Linked DNA regions of Drosophila melanogaster. The protein of the gene in region 4 purifies or fractionates together with the protein of the main gene of each other region. This does not show direct contact. Each region holds a gene or a part of one and is shown on either strand. Other genes may lie near its edges. The genes, in order: CG8117, Polr2B, Mef2 and TfIIFbeta.

Evidence for each region.
Region 1: the proteins of TfIIFbeta (region 4) and CG8117 purify together in Drosophila melanogaster (affinity purification with mass spectrometry, with the first as the bait; one large-scale study listed by BioGRID). This does not show direct contact.
Region 2: the proteins of TfIIFbeta (region 4) and Polr2B purify together in Drosophila melanogaster (affinity purification with mass spectrometry, with the first as the bait; one large-scale study listed by BioGRID). This does not show direct contact.
Region 3: the proteins of TfIIFbeta (region 4) and Mef2 purify together in Drosophila melanogaster (affinity purification with mass spectrometry, with the first as the bait; one large-scale study listed by BioGRID). This does not show direct contact.

Annotation. Positions count from the first base shown.
Region 1 is NC_004354.4:15,642,347-15,645,500, reverse strand, and holds CG8117 (uncharacterized protein), read right to left. Parts: upstream 1,280-3,154; 5' UTR 1,211-1,279; coding exon 722-1,210; 3' UTR 510-721; downstream 1-509.
Region 2 is NT_033777.3:14,124,150-14,130,640, reverse strand, and holds Polr2B (RNA polymerase II subunit B), read right to left. Parts: upstream 4,851-6,491; 5' UTR 4,695-4,850; coding exon 4,673-4,694; intron 4,546-4,672; coding exon 2,377-4,545; intron 2,302-2,376; coding exon 1,367-2,301; intron 1,308-1,366; coding exon 903-1,307; 3' UTR 530-902; downstream 1-529. Other genes in the region: 140up (upstream of RpII140), read left to right, coding at 5,165-5,337, 5,401-5,566, 5,628-5,716, 5,779-6,136; twf (twinfilin), read right to left, coding at 6,454-6,491. UniProt on the Drosophila melanogaster protein: DNA-dependent RNA polymerase catalyzes the transcription of DNA into RNA using the four ribonucleoside triphosphates as substrates. Second largest component of RNA polymerase II which synthesizes mRNA precursors and many functional non-coding RNAs.
Region 3 is NT_033778.4:9,926,604-9,931,496, forward strand, and holds the start of Mef2 (myocyte enhancer factor 2), read right to left. Parts: upstream 3,013-4,893; 5' UTR 2,297-3,012; intron 267-2,296; 5' UTR 1-266. UniProt on the Drosophila melanogaster protein: Transcription factor that could be a key player in early mesoderm differentiation and may be required for subsequent cell fate specifications within the somatic and visceral/heart mesodermal layers.
Region 4 is NT_033777.3:10,766,105-10,769,427, forward strand, and holds TfIIFbeta (transcription factor TFIIFbeta), read right to left. Parts: upstream 1,701-3,323; 5' UTR 1,596-1,700; coding exon 1,059-1,595; intron 994-1,058; coding exon 697-993; 3' UTR 518-696; downstream 1-517. Other genes in the region: CG45076 (uncharacterized protein), read right to left, coding at 2,113-2,932, 2,998-3,199. UniProt on the Drosophila melanogaster protein: TFIIF is a general transcription initiation factor that binds to RNA polymerase II and helps to recruit it to the initiation complex in collaboration with TFIIB.

The DNA.
Region 1 (3,154 bases), on a different chromosome or scaffold from region 4:
CCCGTCTCTGGGGAGCAATTCCCATTGTGCCCATCAAGAGTCCACCTATCATCCCAGTTCGCAGTCCAAACCTGAATCCCAAACCCATAATCCCATTCAATGCCGTTAATGTGGGCCATAAAGCAAATGCTTTAACGTCTATAATTTGTCTGCACTTGGAAACGACCCACGCATACTAAACATAGTATACTATACTATATATACCATCTCATCCAATTCAATTCAATCCAATTCAATCCCATCCGATCCCACCCACTCCGAGATCATCGCGCCGAATGATTCATTAAAGTGTAAAGTGCTAACTAATAGTCGAAAAATTCATTAAATTAACGCTCGCGCTATGCTCGTTTTTTATACAAGCAAACTCGTATATTGTTGAATGTTTATGAAACAAAGATTTGCTTTCTTTCGGACTTTCGGTGCTAGTTTATCTGCTTTCGCAGGCGAACAAAGGAGCATCCATCGATGATGGACTCATTGATACCCTCTGGTATTTAAAACGAATGAATAAGATTTTTATGACATGTAATATATTTCCATAATATGTATGTTGTATGTTGTATGTTGTATGTATTCTTGTTAAAGTATTATTTACATATTGTGGAAGCCAACGGAAGATCAGTCTGTTTATTGATATGAGATATTGTGAATTGTGTGAGTTCGTTTGCTTGGTATCCAGCCAAGACGGGTGACTCCTTCAAGGGACTCTCTCCACGGTTGTCTAGCTCTTCCAGCGGTTGCCGCACTCGTCGCATATCACAAAGGTGATAATGGGCTCGTCACCATCACGGATATGCAATTGGCTGCAGTTGCGTTTGTCGCAGCGTTCGCATTTGAACTGATCCGTCTTGGTGCCCTGAACCTTGGCCATCTGTGCCGCATTGATCGAGTCCTGAACGTACTTCTGGCGCATCTGCTTCATATCATCGCTGGCCATCTCCTCGGGCGTCATCTTGGATAACTCTTCGGGCGTTATTTGACCTAATAGGAACTTCTGGCGCAGCTCTGGATTCTTCGGATCGCGCAAGTTGGCCAAACGCGAACGTATGCGATTTTTGTACTTCACCTTGCAGCCGTTCAAGTCGCCGTAAATTGCGTCCTCCAGTTTAGCGGCCATGTCATCCGGATCGCCACATCCTGGTGGCATGTTGCCCGATTTCAATGCGGTTGCCAACATCTCGCGGCACTTGATGCGTATTTCCATGGACATGGCTGCAAAATCGAAAGAAAGTTTAGTGAATTTATTCAACGAAACCGGAAAGCACAATTTTTAGATTGTGAGAAGTTGAGAGGTCACTGAGAGATGTCTAAGCTGACAGGAACGGCAAGGTAAATGAAGGTTTTTACTCGGCAACTTTACAACCCAACTTGATTAAGGTCTAAATATTTCGGATTTATTATGCAATATTTCTACTTAATCATTTCTTAACCGTTGTGATTAGCATGTAATTAGTATGAATTTGAATAGATAAATCTACATATGTATAAATGTTCGATTTGGGAATCCCCTGCGTAATGCATCACTATTCCATAACGCCCGCTGTGGCCCCCAAGAAATGTGCTAAAATTGGACACTGAAAGGAAAACCAAACACAAATGAAAATCAAAATCGAAATGGAAATGATATTTCCCATTTAGTCTATATGTTTGTGTTTGTCGTTCCGCTTTCTTTGTGCGCCGCTGGCTTTTGATTTCGCTAATCGTCTACAACAAACAGCGCGGAGATGATCTAATTATTGACGCACGAATCCCGCAGAAGCACCAAAAACAAAAGGAAAATGAGTAATAAAAAAAAAAAGGAAAATGGGAAATGGAAAATTGAAATATTGAAAAGCCAAACAACAGTGACGAAGGGGGGGGGGGGGGGGTAGCCACAAAAAGTAGGAAAAAAGCCCAAGCGAGCGAAATTGAAAACAAAATCGAAATCATTATCCAAGTCATTAGCTTTTTAGCGAATCGTTCTTTTTATTGTTGCCGGATATAAATCTGCTAATGTACTTAACCACACAAACATCTAAAACACCCACCACCCAGCCACACCCCCGCTTGCCAACGTCCCACTTGGCTTCGCTTTCGTCCCACTGTGCGTGCGCGTTTTTCTAGCGTTTTTAAACGCCTCCGCCGACCTTCAACTGTTAAACTTGACGACCTCAGCGTAACGTAAACAGCCGCCATCGATTCGAAGCTACCCAAATATAAAGATACAAATGTATCTATCTATCAATGGTCTGGGGAATTGGTTCACGGCCGATTACTGACCTTGGCGGCCTTTTGTCTTTCACCTTTCGGCCAACAACGTATTTGGCTTGGTAAACAAGCCCCAGAACAATGGGTAAAACCTTGAACCTTTGTGGCCAATCAATTTCTCCAGATTGGCGAAAATAAAAAGAAAGTGTGTGGCCAACATGAGGGGCAACCAAAGAAAATTTAAGAAAATATCTCAAATATGTTCCTGTTTCAAACTACTGTTCAAAATACATTAGCTTTTGGATAACATTCTTGCAAAATCTTAAATCAAATTGAAGAAAAATCTTAAAAAACACAAATATAAGTAAATAAAGTTTGGACAATGTGGTTTATGTATAATATATTACAAAACATTTGAATGATTACATGAAGATCGATGAGGATTTACTAATAACTCCTGCAGAATCATCAATTATGTGTGAATAAAACTTAAAATGTCCCACTTAAATAGTTAAATTCCAGTACGCAGCAATTTTCCACTAATTTACCTCGATCAATTTGCATTTTCCAAGTTTTCTAAAGTCCAATTGTTGGTTGGTTGGCTGGCTGCCTGGCTGGATGGTTGAATCGATGGCTGGATGAACGTTTCCCATCGCCGGAGTGCAGTTACATTCGCTGCCTATTTGTCTCCCGTCGAAGCCAGCCCACTGCCACGCCCACCCGCCCGCTACGCCCCCGGCGTGGCATTCTTTCACCTTGGCTACGTGATGCCATGGCGTGATCGTGTAACAATGCGAGTGATTAGTACGCGCCGGCGTTCAAAATGCGCAATCCGCCGATGGCAGCGAACTTGCCTTTTTTTTTTTTTACCTTTTTTAACTTTTTTTTCACCGTCATCGTTTTTTGTTGTGTTTGTTGTTGTTGTTGGACTGTAGATGCAGTTTTTGGATGCCGCTTGGCCACAAGC
Region 2 (6,491 bases), 3.4 Mb from region 4:
GCTCTGAACTGAACTCTCTTATCGCGGCGCCACTTCGCGTTCGCGGATTTACACGCAATTTCAATTACTCATAAGCCGGGCTCAGGCGGGCTGACTGATGGGTGTCAGCATGGTCTTGGCCATCAGCCCCAACATTGGTATCAGCATTGGCAGCGACACGAGTTCGGTTGGGCCGATGCTGCTCGTTCCGTCGGAGCCACGTCAAGTGGCAATTAATAACTGTCAGTCGATTGGCGGCTGTGGCTACAGCTCCACCACCTTCTCCACCGCACACAATCCACATCCGACAACAAAGAACTAATCCCTTTTGTCACTGGGCGTCACAGACCGCGGGCCAAAGCATTACGTCAAAATCAAAGAAGGCAACAAAAGCTTGGCAAAAAAATAAATGCGAATGGAAAGGCTTTCTATGTAAAAAACCGAATTTAGGATACGCTTAGGGCGAAGGTATTTTGCTGGATAATGGACTTTGTTAGGGGATTACCAAAGAAAAATTGGAGCAAATAAAGAGTCAGAACGCAGATTATTTGATGTCCTAAAACGTACAGGGATTGACAACTAAATTGCCAACAAAAATTTAATCACAAATAATACCAAAACCTTTCAATGCCCTATTTGCCCTCTCAAGAAAAGTTTGTGAGCAAAATAACTTATTACAAATAAGCAAATAAATCACATTCCACTAACAGCTCTTGAACCCGTGCAGACTTTCGCCCAAAATACGCTTGTGGCACGTTCGCGTCTTTAAAAATGCTCGGCAGGTATTCGCTCCAGTTCCGGGAATAATAGAAAATGCCACACAAAGCACATAATTGAGTTGTCACAATTATGGTAATTTAATAATTAACTGCTAGCATTTAGCTTAGGGCTATTATGTGGTCCGGTTGCGGATACCGATCTGATTAGGTGACCATCAGGCGCGGCGCAATGTTCATTGACATCAGCTCCTGGAAGAGAAGCTTGGCCGCATATGGGAGTCGCACCTGGGAAATCTGCGTCTTGTTCTTGCAGCCCTTGCACTCGAACGTATTGTTGCGCAGATTGGCGATGGCAATCAGGCCACAGAAGTTGCAGATGTGTACGCGGTACGGATCGGAGACCTCGAATAAACGTTCTCGCAGGAACTGAGCGGCGCCGTGGGAGATCTGGCAATCACGCTCCATCTCACCGAAACGCAAGCCACCATCACGAGCACGACCTTCCATAGGCTGACGCACCAGGATCTGGACGGGGCCTCGAGCACGAGAGTGAATCTTGTCGTCCACCATGTGCTTAAGACGCTGATAGTAGGTGGGCCCCAGGAAGACCTGTAGTTAAGGGACTGATTAGTTTAAGATTATTGCAAGTTGAAAGTTAAGCAATTTACCTGAGCATTAATCTTTCGTCCAGTGTGGCCATTGTACATGACCTCATTGCCTCGAAGATGATAGCCGTACTCCTGAAGGAAGGTGGAGATCTTTTGCACGTTGACGGCATCGTTGAAGGGTGTAGCATCACCGATCTCTCCCTTGTTGGATCCCAGTTTTCCCTGCAGACACTCGATCAAGTGACCAATTGTCATACGAGATGGGATAGCGTGGGGGTTAATAATGATATCGGGTGCCAATCCCTCGCATGTGAAGGCCATGTCCTCCTGACGGTACTGGATGCCGCACGTTCCCTTTTGTCCGTGACGAGAAGCGAACTTATCGCCGATCTGCGGAATACGCACCGAGCGCACTCGAATCTTGCAGAACTTGTAGCCCTCGCTGTTGAGCGTAAGCATCACCTGGTCCACAATACCCGTCTCAGAGTTTCGCAGGAAAGTGGAGGCATCTCGTTTGGAGAAACGCTTCGTGTTGCTGTCCAGTTCGTCGTCGTTTTCAGGAAGGGTAATGGTCTTGCCAATAACCACATCGTCGCCAGATACACGAATTCCTGGGGCAATAATTCCATCATCGTCTAACTTGTCGTAGTGAGCATTTCTCATTCCTTGGCAGGTGCCGCGATGAGGCTTCTCGAAGTTCTCTTCCTGATCACCGACACGTTTGTTCTCCGAATCCTTGTATGATCGGTAGAACACAGAGCGGAAGAATCCACGCTCCACAGCGGATGCATTCAGAATGACAGAATCCTCCTGGTTGTAGCCAGTGTAGCAGAGAATAGCCACGATTGAATTGATGCCAGCTGGTAGTTCTCGGAAACGCAGGTACTCCATGGAACGTGTGGTCACAAGTGGCTTCATCGGATAGTAAAGTACGTGGGCTAGTGTGTCCATACGCACGTGGAAGTTGGTAATATAAACGCCCATAGCTTGCTTACCTATAAAAGATGAAAAAAACGTTATAAATGGATTAGTATTTCAAGTAGAACAGTAATGAATACTCATAAACTTACCCATAGCGCTTTGATAGGTGTTACGCGGACTCTGATTGTGATCGGGGAAGGGAATAATGGACGCGCACACGCCCAGGATCATGGCTGGATGGATCTCACAATGTGTGTATGTGGTACAATAAGCATAATCCTTGTCCTGCTTCAGATCGTAGGGAGACATAGCGATCATGACCGTTTCCTCCTCAAGGGTATCAATGTACTCCACCACTCCAGAGGCTACAAGGACCTGCCAACTGTAGTTGTTGTAGTCTCGCTCCTTTAACATCTCCACGTGAGTCTTTTTAAGCAGCAGCGATCCGTTTTCCACGATGAGAAGTGGCCGACAAATGCGACCAGCATCTGTATAGATTCGGATCTCACGATCTCGAATGTCTCGAATCATAGACACCTCTGACACGATGATATCCATCTGGCGACGCAACTTACGAAGCGTTGCCATGAGCTGCTCAGGATCACGATGTATGCCCACCCAGCAGCCGTTCACAAAGATCTTTGTAGCATCAGCGATGGCAGAAGGAGCAATTTCCTCCAGGTTTTCCATAGACCACTCCTCCAAGAACTCCAGAATGGGAGAAGGTTGTGATCCCACAGAAATGTAAGCCATGAGCGCCAGGTTCTTCACCAGACCAACAGCTGCTCCCTCAGGAGTTTCAGCGGGACACAACATACCCCAAAGAGTATTGTGCAACTGACGAGGTTTGGCCAGTTTACCGTCTCTGCCAATTGGCGAATTCACACGCCGCAAATGGGAAAGAGTAGAGGCGAAGGTCAAGCGATTCAACACCTGGGAGACACCGGCTCTCGCCTGATGCGCCTTCTTCTGGTCGCCCCAATTGCCAGTGGCCAAGGAATACCTTAAACCATCAGTAATAATATTAGTCTTGATGGCCAGTTCAAGGTTGAAGTCCTTTCCGCGATCGATGAACTTCTGTGTGTACATGCGCACCTCTTTCATCAGGTTTTTGAACAGACCACGGAAGAGGAAGGCCAGGAGGGGTCCAGCGAGATCAAGTCGCTTGTTTCCATAGTGATCTCGATCATCGAGTTCTCTCCTGCCCAAAGAGGCTAAGAGCAGCCGGTGAACCATGTAGCCCAAAAAGTATGCCTTCTTGGTCTCGCAGAAATCGGATACTCCAACGTGGGGCAGCATTTCCTTTTGCAAAATTTCCTTAGCGTACTTTATACGCTTGTCTTTTGTGACTCCGGGACGTGCTCCTCTAGCTCCAATGAAATTCAAGGCAACATTCTGCTCTTGGACTACAAAAGCCTCGTCCAGAGAAGGTTTCACCATTTCCATCATCTCGGGATCGTCGAAGTCATAGATGATATGCTCCAGAATATCGCGATCGGCCACGAAGCCCAATGCTCGAAACACAATCATAATGGGTATCTCCTGTTTGATGTACGGTAAGATGGCAATAATCCTCTGACCAATGGCTGACTTTTTTATGTTTTGCGATCCTCTTGCCATCATGTTTACCCACAGTGTAGACGTGGGTCTGGAACTGTGCTCCAAACACGACCGAATCTCAGTCTTAAAGGCATACTTGCCATCTTTCATGCTGAACACGTACACTGTGTTGGTGGCCATTTTCTCTTGGGCAATTAGCACCTTCTCGGAGCCGTTGATGATGAAGTAGCCACCGGGATCCAACGGGCACTCGTTCAGCTCCGTAAGATCACGATCAGTAAGCTGTGATAGCAAACAGTACGTTGATCTCAACATGATGGGAATCTTGCCTATGAAAGTCTTTTGATGCTGCGTTTCCACGGGATCCAGGCCCTCGACATTCTTGGTTTTCGTAATGTCCACGTAGAGAGGAGCGGAGTAAGTTAGATTTCGCAGGCGGGCCTCGTTCGGCATCATAGGACTGGGCGAACCATCCTTTTCCCAATGTGTTGGCTTGGAAAGATAGATTTGCTCGAATTTCAGCGAGAATCTGGGCGGGGTTTCCACCTCTCCGGATGTGTGCTGCGCTTCCGCCTGCAACTCAATGGCGGGGGAATCCTCCACAATGCGCTGCACCGACATCTGAATGAACTCATCGAAACTGTCCAGCTGCTGCCGCACCAAGCCCTTCTCGTCGAAGTACGCGTTAATCACGATCCAGCAGGCTTCCTGCCACAGCTCGTGAGAGATCTCCTCGGCATTCTCCTCCTCGTACAGTTCTGCAAGATGTTATTTGACCATTGAAATTCATTGCTAACAATGCGGAGCCCTAGCGCTCCAGCCGCCATATTAATTTTGGTACACGCCAACGTGCATGCACAAATTTTCGCAATTCATTTTACTCACCTTCCTCGTTGTCGTACATCATGATTTCAGTTTTCTAAAGTGCAGAAGCACTTTATGCGTTCAAGTAAATAACAATAAATTGGATTTGCAATGAATTAAATTGTAAAAACGTAGAAAATTTCACAACAAATGTTTGCCGACAACGCGATTAGCGGCGTTGTGCTGTGTTGGTAAACGGCAAAAGCAAAGCACAAGGTGCAGTTCATAAAGTTATAGCAAATACTTGTAAACACAATAAAATTGTTTTTGGCAACAAAATAAATTTAAAAGTGTGAATGATATAAGAAAAAAATATATGAACAACTAAATGAGTATGTAACTTAAATTATTATAATAATATAATTTTATTAATAACAAACGCATTTAAATTAAAAACAATTAAACCGAGAGTTTGCCAACACCAATGACACGCACACTTTCCAACACTAACAGACCGGCAAACAGCTGAGATTGTTGTACTCGTTTTACTTGGTTATTTAACACGCTTAAAAAATGAATTTTCTGTGGAAAGGACGCCGGTTTCTGATCGCAGGCATCCTGCCAACATTCGAAGGCGCCGCAGATGAAATAGTCGATAAGGAAAACAAAACATACAAGGCCTTTCTGGCCAGTAAACCACCAGAGGAAACAGGACTGGAGCGCCTCAAGCAAATGTTTACAATCGAGTAGGAAAACTAAGAATTCCATTTATACTAAAATCTACTGACCGTACATAAACATTTAAATAGCGAGTTTGGCAGCATATCCTCCGAGCTTAACTCGGTTTACCAGGCCGGCTTCCTAGGATTCCTTATTGGAGCTATTTACGGCGGAGTTACACAATCGCGCGTGGCCTACATGAATTTCATGGAGAACAACCAGGCCACAGCATTTAAATCGCACTTTGATGCCAAGGTAGGTATCTACGTATTATCATTTAAATATGTTATAATCAAGTTTTTAATCATAATTACAGAAAAAGCTGCAAGATCAATTCACAGTCAACTTTGCCAAAGGCGGCTTCAAATGGGGCTGGCGAGTGGGACTTTTTACCACATCCTACTTGTAAGTTCAGCAACACGAATTCAAATCTGTATCTGTGTGATACAAAAATGTGTTCCTTACAGCGGCATCATCACTTGTATGTCGGTGTACCGTGGAAAATCCTCAATCTACGAATACTTGGCCGCTGGTTCCATCACCGGCTCGCTTTACAAAGTGAGTCTTGGTCTGCGGGGCATGGCGGCAGGTGGAATCATTGGAGGTTTCTTGGGCGGCGTGGCTGGTGTGACGTCGCTGCTGCTGATGAAAGCATCAGGGACCTCGATGGAAGAGGTTCGCTACTGGCAGTACAAATGGCGACTCGATCGCGACGAAAACATTCAACAGGCGTTCAAAAAACTGACAGAGGACGAAAACCCAGAGCTTTTCAAGGCCCACGACGAGAAAACATCCGAACATGTATCGCTGGACACGATCAAGTGAGTCCTGAGGACTTAAAGAAGACGCCAGTGTGAACTTAGTTACTTTTTTTAATTTAAATAAATTGCATATATGTCCATCTAAAGTTACATAGACAAGAATACATTTAAGGAAGCCCACTTTGGCGGCTGCTATGCGATGTTTCAGTTGATGCCTAGTGCCTCTAAAGATATCGACTGACGTACGGACACATATAGACACGGGATAGACACAACACAAAAGAAATAAACGATTGGATACAATAAATTAAATGCTCTGCTAGGAAACAGTACGTAGAAGGGCGATAAACAGAATTGACTCGGTGGGATCGGGATTCAGACTTAGTCCTCTGCGGTGGGACGCGTGAGGCGCTTGGCGC
Region 3 (4,893 bases), on a different chromosome or scaffold from region 4:
TTTTTGCAAGCAATCGCATTGGCTCCGCGATATCTGGCTCTCTTCCTGCACCGCGTTTATCAACAATTTCGATTGCAGAAATGCCAGCAAAAGCAAAAGAATCCAAGGTTTTTGTTTTTCGCCCCGAAACACGCGTCTCATGTTAAGGTAGTCGAACAAATTTGAGTTCTCGGGCCCCGAGTCACCTAGAAGTACACCTAGAGCACTTCTATCTTATCGCCAGCACCTACACAGCCGCAAAAGCGGGCGGAGTGTGGGGGAGGGAGCTAAACCAAAACACAGGCGCAAACAGAAAGAAATCGTTATAATAATAATAATTATTATTATTTTTATTTTTATATACAATATATGTGGGGGAGCGCGGCGGCAATAACCATAATTATCACAGACACTCGAGAGCCGCAAACACGGCAAATGGCAAAGGAACATTTATTTTTTTAATAACTACACCAACACATCGACCAGATTGTGCTTCATTTGGCTTGTCAGTGAGCGTGGGCACCTTCACATGCGCACGTGTGATAAGAAAGACTCTCGCTCTCGATGGCAGATAGTGGCCGCAAAAAAAAAAAAACACGAGCAAATAAAACAAATTTTGATTTCGAATTTTTTATCAAGCACCGAAAACGCCAACAACAAACGTAACTCAACTATTTTTCGTTGAAAATTTGCCAACAAATTATTTTGACCTGATAAGATGTCGTTTGTGGGTTTTCCTTCATGGATTGTATTCTTTATTTTACTTGCAGTTTTTCAGAATCGTGTGTCATTTTTGAATTTCAAAACTAATTGAAAGGCATCCAAAAAAAAAAAACAGTTAAAACATTTATTTTTTCGCTTAACTTATGAAGCTTTAGGTATTGGAAATAACTAAATTGTTATAGAATGAGATAAATAATAATGAAATAATAAAGAAAATAAATAAATAATATTATAATTTCTCTATTGATGGAACACTTAAAATACAAAAAAGAAAATAAATAAATAATATTATAATTTCTCTATTGATGGAACACTTAAAATACAAACGCGACCCAAACGTGACTACACCAAATAGTGTTAAAGATCTCGGAGGTTAATGATGGTCGTGATGATGGTCCGAACGTGAACGTGATCGGAGGTGGGGTCCCGTTATCTAGGCTCTGCAATGCCGAATGACCGTAATCGTTTATCGGCGATCGCCGTGGCTAAGTCCACGGCAAATCTGCGGTGATTATCGCCTTCGAATGGCTTTGTTTGTTATTTGAACCCACTGCTCCCTGGATCGAAACGAAATTCCCCTACTCCCTTCCCACGCGACCCCCCTTATGATCCTGCGTAGGTGTCAAAGTGCATTGCACGCATGTCCAGCTGCCTGAGGCGAGATAAGAGAAAATATAATTCTCTGTGCATTTGCTGCTGGCTGAAACAAAGTGCAGACAATTATCAGCAAATTCGCCAATCAGCCAGCCAGCCAGCCAGCCAGTCAATCAGTCAGTTAGTCGGTTGGTCGGTCGGTCGGCCATAAAAACTACATGCAAAAGAACTTGATAGCAGGGAAATGGATTTGAACTTCGCCGGAGGAGTACGGTTCTCGCGGGCCCTCAATATTGATACGAAAATCGCTTATCAGTGGAACGTATATAGTATTTGTGTGTGCGTGTTCGCCCGTCCGAGTGTATGGCAGCTACTCTCAGCATTAAATCGCAAGAAAAGAAATTGAAACATCGAATGATATCAATTGAAAGGGAACTGTTTGAACTGGAATCAAGACAGCGAGGCACAATTCGAAAACCCGGCCGATATCTCTTTTTTTTTTCTTCGGAATCCCAACGTTTGGCTCAGCGATGACGTCAGTGTGCATGGGTAACTTGCTTATTTGGTTCCCGACATGCCGGCTGCCAGTGTTTTTGTAATTGTAAATTATATATAATCAAATTGCCCTATCGGCATATGAAAGGAGGGGTTTACAGCCCATCGATGATCTGTAAATAATTACTAAGCCTTTGGGCGGAATAATAGCTCAATGAGCAAAGGTGGATATGATAACCAAAATTAGGTTTTATAATTCATAATTTATAATTAATTTAACAATGTGTCTCAAAAGTATGACTAACCGAAAATCACTTATAATGTAATGAGGCATTCAATTGGATTTTATGACGCTCATAAATATAAGTCAAATGGTTATCACAAACAGGAAAAATTATTCTTAATACAAGAATGAAAATCTTTCTACCCATTTCGCAAAGGTACTTTGGTTTTAAAAACTAGTTTTCAAACCAAAAACATTCCTCATTGCAGTAGATAAACTTACATGAATCGCTTTTTAGCTGAGCTTCCGTTTTCTCGAAAAAATGTTCTCAAAAATACACTACTCAATAGAAACCGACGAGTTTTGAACTTTTCTGGGGATGTCAGGTCGCTGGCGAGGTGTTTGCACAAATGTTTCCGAGCACACACACGAAAATCTTTGCAATTGAGATGCAAATTGAATTATTGTTTGAATTCTGGCTTTGTTTACGCCGCTCGTTCGATAAACATCGGGGCGAAATGCAGTCAGTGATATGTTTGCTGTTGTGTTTGTCGTGTGCTTTAGCTTTTTGTAAATATAAACAAAGTCCGGGCAGGCGGGGGCGGGGATGTCGCGGCCGCGGTTGGCGCAAATAAAAGTTAAAAATAAAAACTTATAATTGTCCGACGGCTGTTGTTATTTTTATTATTGTTGCCATTTATTTTTGGAAATAGACGTTGAATTTGTTTATATGGAGTAAAAATAAATTATTGCGCGTAGTGCGAGAGCAGCGGGCCAGCATAATTTCTCGCGGCGTTCGATATAGGATCTCTATCTGTTGTGAATCGCTAGCGGAATCGGATCGTTGGATCGTTGGCTCGGAATGAAAATATCGAACTCGCAAACGGATCGCAAACTGATCTGCCGAAATCGAATCGAATCGAAATCTCAAAATCTCGAAATCCCGAAAACCGAAAAACTGAAGAAGCGGCGCTGCGGACGCGTACAAACGTACTGACGGATATGCCGTCGTTGACGTCGTAACGCCAAGTACGCACACACAGATACGCCCGCACACAGCTGCACTGCGCCAGGCTCTCTCGCAGTCGCACACTAACACACACACGCACAGCCAGCAACGAACACGTATACGTAGGCTGGCGGTGAGGATTTTCGTTTCGTGGTGAACTCACTCACACGCGCACACCTTCTAACGGTGCCTTTTGTTTTTGCCTTTTTGTGTAACAGAATATCGCACACATACATTGCCGGGCAATCGGAGAGCGGGAGAGACGGAGAGAGTGCGCAGCCGCTGACTTTGAGTTCCTACTCACAACGAAAGCAAGAGTGAGCGAGAGGTGGCGGGGGGTTAGAGTGTGGGGCTGGTGGGGGTGAGTGAGTAATTCGGTTTGTGAGTGAGTGCGTGCGGGAGTCGAACGAGAAACATATGGTTTTTGTTTGTGCCCCAGCCAGACACACACACACGCACACTCACCCACACACTTGATCAATCAGCAACAGTTACAGTTAGTTCCCTCGCCGAGCTTGTTGTCCCGCTCTGGCAACCTCCCATAAATGTTAATTATCCCCCACTTCACCACCCCCATTAACTACACCCCTGCTAAACATCGCTTTGGTTTCCGTTTTCCTTTGTATCCGTATCTCCCTGCCCTGCCAGGACCTCTCCCCTCCCGCTTTGCCCACTATCTGGTTTTTTTTTTGTGTGTATTTTATTTATTTGTCCTTGCCACTGGATCCTCTCTATAAACACCCACCCACCATTAGTTTTCCCCTTCGACGCAGCTTAATAAAAACTTTGTTGACCTGCGTTTGGCAGTAGAAAAAAAGGTAAGTATATACTCGATACCCTGTTACAAAAGATGGGGCATACTTACTGGCTGTGGTTACGCCTTTTAGAAACGCGAAGTATGATATAACTATCATTAAAATTAATTTCATTTTTAATAGGTTATATTAACTTTGGAATTGTGACAGCTGTTTAGCTTCTTAGCTCCGATGTGAACGTAAACTAGAATGTTGAACTTGATTCAGAAAAAATAAAGCGTAAATCCTTTTTTCATTTGTTACCTAATTTTGTGCGATACAACATACAACATATCCTGTAATTCGTCTGCTGGCGGGTACACAAAACAAACAGGAAGGAATCGGAAGGGACAAAGAGTAGGACCCGTAGGATCCTAGGGTGTGCGGCAACCAACGATTCATTGTTTCTGCTCGATTGATGATTGCCTATTCAGACAGAGGTAAAGTAGTTGTATGGCTGAAGTTGGGGCTTAATTTGTGAATCGGACCGCCAGCCAGCCAAGTGGGATCCAAAGCCCTGTGACCCAGACCCTGTCTATTGTTGCGTTAAGCGAGATATTATTTACCTTAAACACGCTCTATTATGCAGGTTATGTAGGCGAAAAGATAATAAAGTAGGGATACATGTACCCCAACTTGATCCCAATAGAGTTTATTACAAAAATCGACTTTTATAAAAGCAGGAAAATTGGGAACGTTGTATGTGATTAGTCCACATCTGGGAGGCAAATAAAAGCTGTGGCTACTTTCCAGCCATCTATAGTTCTAACCCATATAGGAAATGATTTTGCGTCTATTTATACATAATAAAAATATTTCCAATAGCGAGAATTTTAGTGATTAGCCATTACCATATGGCATTTAAATCAATAAGAAAATATATTAAAAGATTTTCTTGTTTACTGTAAGTTGCGATTTAATAACTGGAGTGATAGTTAAAACACAGACAAAAGGACATTAAGGGAGGTGAAATCTTAAGGAATGCCCATATTGCAGTTGCAGTTAAGTGGACGCAACTTTAACGTGACTTTCCGAGTAATATGCGAATGCCAGATGCCGCAGATATTGCTCCGCCC
Region 4 (3,323 bases):
ATTTACCCGCAATCGTGTACAAATGTAAGTTTTAGTTACGTATTATTAGGAAGCTTGCAATAGAAAGAATGCTTTAGCTTAAGCTTATCGATGTATGAATCAATATTTCTTTAGAGTAGTAAACCAGTATTATCTAAGCTCGATTTTCCTAAGCATGAAGCCGTTTTTTAGTTTTTCTTTCACTTCACTTTTTTAACTTTTTACGACGCTTTTAGTTGCTTATGAAATTTTCACATTTTTATTAATTTCTATTTCTTTTGAACATTTTTGATTTATTTTACTTTACCTACGAATAGATTTATTTCGTATTCTTATTATTTCTATGATTTCCTAAAAATTTAACACTATACCTCCTTTGATTTAGAACAAAAATAGACAAATGACTTTTTGATTGACGAAGCGCGTGTTTTGGAAATCCTCATGAGCTGATAGTACTAAATTCAAGTACCTGATCTCGTCTGTACAAAAGTATAAACATAAGAACTCTTCGGACATAAGACAAAGTTCAAGATAAATTAAGGATAAAGTGTATATATACGTATGTATTTACCAGAGTGCAAGCTAGTGTCTATTTACAATCATTTTAAGATATAATGTTTTTTTCGTAAGTATAACGTGTAGTTCTTAAGGAATAAAACGGAACCATGCAATTACTTAATGTGTTTTAATGAAAGTAAGTCGGCGATTCTCCCAATGCTACTCCGAGTCGCTGCTGCCTGACTTGTGCTCCTCCTCTTTCTTCTCTTCAGTCTTGTAGTGGCGATATTCTTTCTTGAGCTCCCACATGTTCTTGTGCGGGTTCTTCATATTGTAATCGCAGACATCCTTGAGAATCTCCTTCAGGTAGCTAATCGGCTGGTTGGTGATCTTGACCAGATCCTTGATGTTATAGTATTGATGCTTCTCGAATGCGTGGAAGAGCATATCCATCACGGCATTCTTGTCGTCGCGCGCCTTCTTGCCCTCGGCCTTCTTTCGCTCCCGATATTCAATCTGCAGGAATGGAGGAGTTATATATACATATATATTACCAAAACAGAGTGTATTATTGTTCTCACGTTGTGTGCGTGGTCTTTTACAGGCTTAAAGTTCTGCACGATTTTGTCGATAGGCTGCACACGTCGCTGTGGTTCCGATGCCTTGCGTATGGACTCCAGCTTTAGTTTCATGTAGCAGTTGTCGGCGATGGGTCGGCACTCTAGCTTTTGCACAATCCTGCCCTCCATATACAACTTTTCGTTATCCGGCTGTGCCGCCGAGGTAGTCGAGTTCTCCTTGCCATCGGACGGTGCCATGTGCGAGAATACGCCGAGCGTCTGCTTGGTGACCTGCGACACGTCCAGGATGTGCTCGGTGGGTATTTTCTCCTCGGGATCTAGAGCCAAAACGGCGGGCGTGAGGGAAAGCGAGACCTGGGCCTTTTGGCCAGGTGTCTTGTTTATCCGGAGCTTGCCCACGTCCATGTTCGTCGGCGCCTTCTCCCATTTCTGGGCAATGTACTTGGGCACCTTCACCAGCCATACGCCTCGCCCAGCATTGGACAGGTCCAGGTCCTTGTCGATGATCTGTGTCTTTTCCTTATCCTCCTTCGACATTCTGTTTGCTTTAAATTATTAAAAACGAATTTGCAAAGCCACTTGTACCGTTTTCGGCTTTGCTTGTTGTTGTTGTTTTGCCGTAAATTTAGTGCGGTCGAATAAACAGTTTCGAAAAAATGCTAGTTTAGTATATCACGGTATTTTTCTTTCGGTATTTATTCGTTATGTTATTATTAGGCGCCAAGTTTGAAAAAGTCCGAAGTGCAGATAACGAAATAGAACTATTTACATATCTGAATTTTATATAGTTAGCAAGAACTTTAGAACATAAGAAATAACTTTTATAATGAAATGTCTTAGAAAGAATATGATATCTTAATTTTGATTTATTCAGCAAATTTTATGACTAAATTTAGAACACAACATTGTATTGATTTAAGATGAATTTATGAATTGATGTGACACCTTATCCAGCATTATCCACCCCATTGCCCTATTAAATTGTTTTTCTAATATTTTTATTGTTTTTTCATTCTTTTTAAATTAGGTTGACAGCATGGTGATTGTGTAGAATCTATTCCTCCTCCTCTTCCTCGTCCTCCTCCTCCTCCGCATCGAGATCCTCCTCGTAGCTATTACCACCAGTGGGGGTAACATTAGAGCCGAGCTCGATGATCGGTTCCTGTTCCTCAACGGGCGTGACGGGCTCTTCGACCACAGGCTCGCTGGTCTCGTTCTCGTTCTTCTGGATGGCCTGCAGTTCCTGGGCGGCAAGCTCGGATTCCTGGCGGGCGATCTCGGCCAGCTCGGCGGCCTGGCGAGCAAGTTCTCCCTCACTCTCCTTCTCGATCTCCGCCAGGCGCTCCAGCTCCTGCTCACGGACACGCTGCTCCTCCTCCAGGCGAGCCTCTTCAGCGACACGAGCCTCTTCGGCGGCCTTTTGGGCAGCTTCTTCGGCGGCACGAGCCTCCTCTACAGCCTTCAGTGCGGCTTCTTCGGCGGCCTTTTGGGCAGCTTCTTCAGCCAGACGAGCCTCTTCGGCTGCCTTTAAAGCGGCTTCTTCGGCAGCCTTTTGGGCAGCTTCCTCGGCGGCCTTTTGGGCGGCTGCCTCCTCTGCTAGGCGAGCTTCCTCAGCAGCTTTTTGGGCAGCTTCCTCGGCGACCTTTTGGGCGGCAGCCTCCTCCGCTAGACGCGCTTCTTCGGCAGCTTTCTGGGCAGCATCTTCAGCGGCTTTTAGGGCTTTAGCTTCTTCGGCTGCTTTTTGGGCGGCAGCTTCAGCCAGGAGAGCCTCTTCGGCAGCGATTTTGGCGGCCTCCTCGGCAGCCTTTTTGGCCTTAGCAGCAGCCTGCTTTTCGGCCTCAGCCGTCAGGCGATCCCTCTCCTCCTTGAGAGCCCTTCGGAAACATCAAAAATTTAATAGGAAATGAGCTATGAGCTGGTGTAGGTAGTGAGCACCCACCTCTCTTCCCTACGCTTGGCTTCATCGGCTTTCTGGGCACGCTTCTTTTCCAAGTCCACCTCGTCGAGAGCCTCTTCGTTAACGGTTAGAAGACGCTCCTGGCGCAGACGCTGTTTCTCCTTGGCCTCCACATCGAGGGGATCCTCCAGGGGCCTAGGGGCAGAAAATTTTCTAGATGGACGGTTAGGATCCAACTCGGCATCTGAAATGTAATGCTTGTCAGAAGAGCCTTCACCACAGTGCCTATGCATTTGTATCTTATTTTTCATTTTACATTAAATATCCTTCACTTTGTTGTTCACTCGGCTAATGTCATTATACATTAT